Drosophila melanogaster: one gene and its partner. The protein of the gene in region 1 interacts with the protein of each later gene in a pairwise test. Each region holds a gene or a part of one and is shown in the gene's direction. Other genes may lie near its edges. The genes, in order: CG16978 and Lcp65Ag3.

What was found.
Region 2: the proteins of CG16978 (region 1) and Lcp65Ag3 interact in a two-hybrid assay, tested with the Drosophila melanogaster proteins (one large-scale study listed by BioGRID).

The regions. Positions count from the first base shown.
Region 1 is NT_033779.5:13,142,547-13,145,356, reverse strand, and holds CG16978 (uncharacterized protein), read left to right. Parts: upstream 1-1,734; 5' UTR 1,735-1,759; coding exon 1,760-2,050; 3' UTR 2,051-2,143; downstream 2,144-2,810. Other genes in the region: CG9928 (uncharacterized protein), read left to right, coding at 2,492-2,810.
Region 2 is NT_037436.4:6,129,579-6,132,809, reverse strand, and holds Lcp65Ag3 (larval cuticle protein), read left to right. Parts: upstream 1-1,820; 5' UTR 1,821-1,880; coding exon 1,881-1,999; exon of another isoform or gene 2,000-2,060; coding exon 2,061-2,259; 3' UTR 2,260-2,424; downstream 2,425-3,231. Other genes in the region: Cpr65Au (cuticular protein 65Au), read left to right, coding at 729-862, 1,205-1,391.

The DNA.
Region 1 (2,810 bases):
TGACTTTGTCTCGTTTTTCATATATTTGTGGTTACCTTTCCAGGGGGTTCTTCGATTTTTGAAAGAGGTTTGTAACACTGAAAAATATACCCACAAGCTTAAGGTATATATGAAGAAAATTTAAACGATTAGATGTCATTTTTGGTCATAATTAAAATCGAGTTATTTTTACAACTTCAGTATTATCAATGATATTGATCATTGAAGCTTCGAAAAGGGTATTTAGACATTGGCTGAAAAATATTTATTTTCCTCCTCTTTTTTTTGATTGACTTTGGTTTTTATGTTATTTGGTCGCGTTGCGTTGAAGTTGGTTTTGGCTTTGGACTCCGGTGAAGCCAGGGGATTTGGGGCTAGGGCTGGGCCGTCGTTTGGGTACGCTTTGATGGCTTCTAGGTGAAGGTCATTGTGTGACTGAAATGTTAATTTGACTGACTGTCGTACTTTTATGCCGGAGTGCCTGGGCTATTTCAGTTGTATCTTTTTAATGGCACTTGCTAAGGTTCTATACACCTAGAAGTGGGTATTCATGTCGGCTTAAAAACCACTAAACAAAACTCAAAACCAACTTTGATTTGTTGCGCCGCTGGTATGCGGCGATTTTTAAATGACTGACATTTGCTAGCAAGTCGACATAATATACAAAAGCATCAGAAAAAGTTTGAAATTTTTTAAAATATACATTAATTATAGAATTGAAGTTGAGGATATTAAAATAATTAAAAACATATTTGTGGTTATTATTTCAGTTGCCAGCAGAGTTTTTATATTATATAAAGAATTTTCTGAAACGTTTTAGAAATGACTAAAAACGATCCGTGTAACAGCTTACTTTGATTTCAATGGCGCAGTCTTAGACTCCAATGATGGCGATGCAAATGAGCGACATATTTGCAGACAAGTCCACCAGCAATTCGGTGAATGGGCGGGCGTCTGCTTCCCCGGAGGATAATGAGCTGCAGCCCCCGTGAATCGAGTCTGGTGGCCCATCTAATGGTGTTGTTCGCATGGTGGTTAGATGGTTGAATGCTGCAGCTACAGCAGCAACGATTCAGCACCGTTTTGCTGATGCGGCACACTCCAATGCCATAAAAGGGCATTAGCCTCGTGAGTAGATTGCATGTTTTTACCACAGGTTTTCGTGGATGGGCTCCCGTCTTTTGGGGTGGCAAAGTGAGGTTGTACTGGCAGCTGAGTGCGCGCGCTTTGGAAAATTGAATAAAGTGCCGGAGGAGCCAACGAAGGATTGAGGCAACGAAGCGGAGTAAAGTGCTCGATGCTGGCAGCCAAGTCATTTAAGGGTTGCCGGCAGCACTCACATCGGCCTACAAGGAAAGATGAAATACAGTCGCTTTGCTAAGTTTATAATCCCTTATTTAGAGTACATTTTCTGACTACCCAGCTAACTAACACAACTCTAGTAACTGACAGATGATTGGCATGGCCGAGAATTTTCTCAACAGACATAGCAATTATTTGGAATTAATCATAGACTTATTTGCATGACTGTTGATCCGCAAGTGGCAACGTGTCGTATGCGCAATGCTTGCTCTTGCTGGGTCTGCGATGATTCAGAGGGGACTCTAGTACCGCCCAACGCATAAATATGAATGAGGAAATCGAAGCAGCTTGCCACTTGGGCTTAGCCCAGACTGGATTTTCCAGAATTCCATTGAACTTATTACTGACCGACACGATCCATATAAAAACGAAAGAAATTGCATCTGGCTATGCAGTTGCCGGCGGTGCATTGATCAGCATGATGAGCCGCATCATATCATTGCTTCTCCTATTCGGAATCATTTGTGCTGCTCTAATTGCCGGCCATCCGCACGACCTTATTGAAGATCCGGAAGGTACCAATGATGCTTTGGAGGAATCTGGCAGTGGATACAACAGTGCCGAAGAGTTCATGAATGCAATGGACGAGCTGATCAGACGCTGGCAGGAGAACGATGCAGCTCATGAGAACTCAACTGACTATCCAAGTCTTGATGACGATGAGACGACTTTGGATTTTATGGATATTACCACCGAACCGGCTACTTAATATGGAATTATTTAGTAGTGCTGTAATGCTAAGTCATGCTATCCTATTGTCTGTAAATAATCTAGTTCTTCAATAATAATTATTAAGGGAAATAAAAGAAAGTTTTTAGAAATTTTAAAATGAAATCAATCAAGAGAGAATCAAGAGATCTTCATTTTTTGATAATGAATGTTGCCTACTCCGCAATTTCGATTTTAAGTACGCATTAAATACTAGTCATAGATTGAATTTAATAGCTCGTTTAGTATATCAATTAAGCTTGTGGTAAGCTGTGTTGCTGTTAAGCTGGAATTTCCCGCACTCACCTCTGTCTAAAAGTATACATATCACCTTTAAACCAACCACTTAGAACTGCTGATAACCCAGGGCAAGGCTATAAAAGCCCAGCTCAAGAGCCGACTGACATTCAGTCAACTGTAGCCAGAGCTAATCGAAAGAAAAATGCAATCCATTCTCCGACTGCTGGTGCTGTTTGGATTAATCTATACCGCGATCGGTGCATCGGGTATATTTCAGAATATAAACCTCGGTGGCGAAGGAGGAAGAACACGATCTTCAGGTGGCAACTTGGACTGGAGCGATAGTGTTCACAGTTCTGATGACGATAGGACTCTGAAGCTACTGGAATCGTTGGATAACAGTGGCAATGATAGAAATAATTGGGGCAACGATGCGGTGAGGAATTCTGGATTCGATACCGATAGATCCGCAGGAGACTCAAAGGAAGACGCTCGCGGATTCCAGTTTATACACATAGGAT
Region 2 (3,231 bases), on another chromosome or scaffold:
CACGATTAAATGTTTGTAAAATACTCTGATATTTGATATAGAATACTCTGATATGTAGAATATTCCATGCTTGTTGGATTGCTGATTGATATTTTCTATTAATAATTAATGTATATACCAATAGTAGTGTACACAAAGCATTTGCTGAGGCTTTACTTATTCAAACATTAGATGATAATATGAGAAATGACAATGGCAAAATCACAATGCACAATAATAAAAAGTTCGAATACAGAACTTTATGCATCTCGACTAGAAGACATCGTTTAAACCTGAGTTTATATGTATATAGCAAATGGTGATCGTGTACTGTTTTTTATACAAATTTTCACCGTTCTATCTGTTTGTTTCAAACAAACATGTTCACGATTAGCTTAATTAACCAATAAGATTTGAGAATTCAAAGGTGATGGCAAGGTAAGGCGTCATTCTGTCTATCAATTGACTGTCGACAAGGTAATTGCATACATTACCATCTGTTGGATATACCTGCATGCACGATTAGTGCAGGGTACTTAGAGTGTTAATCTGTAATTAAAATGTGTTTTATTGAATGTTTGCATTATAGCTGATTTCTTTATTTTTAATTTGTTTTATTATTTTGCATTTTTCGCCGATGAGGACATAATCCAGAGATTTCGTATAAAAGGGCATCAGATGATCGCATCGCAGCTCAGTAAAGTGCAGCTAGCTGTGACGGAGACTCTGAAAAACTAATTCTTTCCGCAATGCAATCGAATTTCATGTGGCTGGTAGCCTTCCTGGCAATTGGTATCTGTTTGGCCTTTCCCGCTGGTGAGGATGCCCAGGCGGAGACCATCAAACTGGAGAGCGAAAACACGGGCGATAAATATTCCTTTGCGTAGGTATTGCCCAGAAATGATTTGGACATAATGCATTTAATTGTAAAATTTTTTAACCTTAAACTGAGATACTATTACTATTTTGCGTAGAAACGGCTTGACTATTGAAACTGATGTATATAAATATGTACACATATATAAACTTTATTTAGTTGCACATGTCTCCCTCACTGCGTTGCAAACTTCTGACTGATATCAGAGGTATAAGCCTCTGCAAGGGCAAAATTAAAGAGGGTAGCTTTGAAATGCTTAGTTGTAACAGGTGTTTAATTATTCGATGTTCCTATATACAATTTCAATCAATAATTAATTTATTAAAAACAATTAACATCGAATTCCAGCTATGAGACGAGCAACGGAATCTCACGCACTGAGACCGGTGAGGTGAAACCTGGAGCCGGCGAAGAGGATGGTTCCTTGTCTGTCCAGGGATCGACCAGCTGGTCAGCTCCAGATGGCAAAAAATACGAGATTAGTTTCACGGCCGACGAAACTGGCTACCATCCCAAGTTCAGGCTAGTAGCCTAGGAGATACCTGGATGTATAATGATTCCGGATGCGAATAAATAAGTTGACTTTATTTATCCAATGTAAAAGATTCGTAGAATTAGAAAAGTAAATAGAAAAAATGTATATATTTGAGGAAGCTCCCGAGTTTTATTGACGTCACTAAGACTGGCTGGATTATTATAAATATAATAAAGCTCAATGAATTGTTAAAAATTTGAATAATGAAATATTTATGAACGCGATTCTTTTTGGACTATAGTGTTATTAAAATTTTATATTAGGCCTTTTAATGCTCCTACTTCAAACGAAAATGAAATCCAAACCAGACATTTCACATTAACATTGATTTTGCTCATTATGTCTTGTACACGTTTGACTAGTTCGGCCGCGCTTTGAATAATCGCCAAGAGGGTGCCATCTATAAAAGGGTTTACGCGGCCGTCCATAGTTACCATTCGACTTGAACTGTTCGATAGCCGCAGATCTAAGCACCAAACAACAATCACCATGAAATTCCTGATTGTCTTCGTCGCCCTCTTCGCCGTGGCTCTGGCTGCTCCTGCCGCTGAGGAACCCACAATCGTGCGCTCTGAATCCGACGTTGGACCCGAAAGCTTCAAATACGAGTAAGTTGCCTATGAGAAATGACCCAAAAGGATACCTAGCTGACACTGACTTCCTTCTTAGCTGGGAAACCTCCGATGGACAGGCTGCTCAAGCTGTAGGTCAGCTGAACGACATTGGAACTGAGAACGAGGCTATCTCTGTGAGTGGATCCTACCGCTTCATTGCTGATGATGGCCAGACCTACCAAGTCAACTACATCGCCGATAAGAACGGATTCCAGCCCGAGGGTGCTCATCTGCCCGTTGCCCCCGTGGCATAAGTGAAGTTGCTTTCACTGTAAGCAGCTTTAAACCCACCAATTCTGCAACACTCTTTGTTATCTTCCCCAACACTTACCTACTTTCGGTTTTCCCTTTTAAAAGGGAAAGAATCCTAAGTTACAGAACGCAGTTTGTTGAATATTAAAAAATGTAGATTTTATATGAATTCGTTTTATTTTAAATGTGCTTTTCGCTCAAAAGGTCGGAAACGTCGTTTTTTTTTAAAGGCGATTATTTGAAAATATTTTGTTAAGTTGTTCAGATAAATAGAACTAGATTCTTATGGCAAACAACGGACCTAATTAAAGGTTTTTTTCCATTAAGCAATTCTTAAGAAGTGTAAATAAGTATTTTGAAAGAATAGGTATTTTTTTCATTTAGAAAATTATTAATTAAAAAAAAAAACATTTTAGAACTGAAAATACAATTTTTTATTATGTATTTTATTACTCTAACCGCTAACATACCCAGTCGTCTTCAGGCTTTATTAGGTGTTCTTATTACATGAACATTATTAAAAAAGAAAAAGTTTTTGGGCCCTTATAATAATATTAAAAAAGAATATATTTTTCCTATTTTTAACTTATCTTAACAAAATCAAACGAAAATTTCCAGTATGCCTTAATAAAATAAAAACAAAAAGTTCTCCCAAATGCATAGTCGGCTTTGCGGATTTAAAGTGCATAGTTTAATCATAAAAGACTCTTAAGCTTACTTTCAGGCTATAGCTATTCAGATTGCATTGAAATCGAATGACTTAGGCAACGAACTTTTTAAATCCCTTGCATACTTTTGGGGGCTAAATGCTAATTACCAGTATCTTCGTGATGCGTCTCTTTAGACGCGAATCATTTATGCTCGTATTGAAAGACAACTGTTATAGCAATTAATATGCAAATTTTAGCATACAACATCAGTCATTGCCGAACTTGACAGCAATATTTCAATTACAATTGACTTGCAGTATCCGG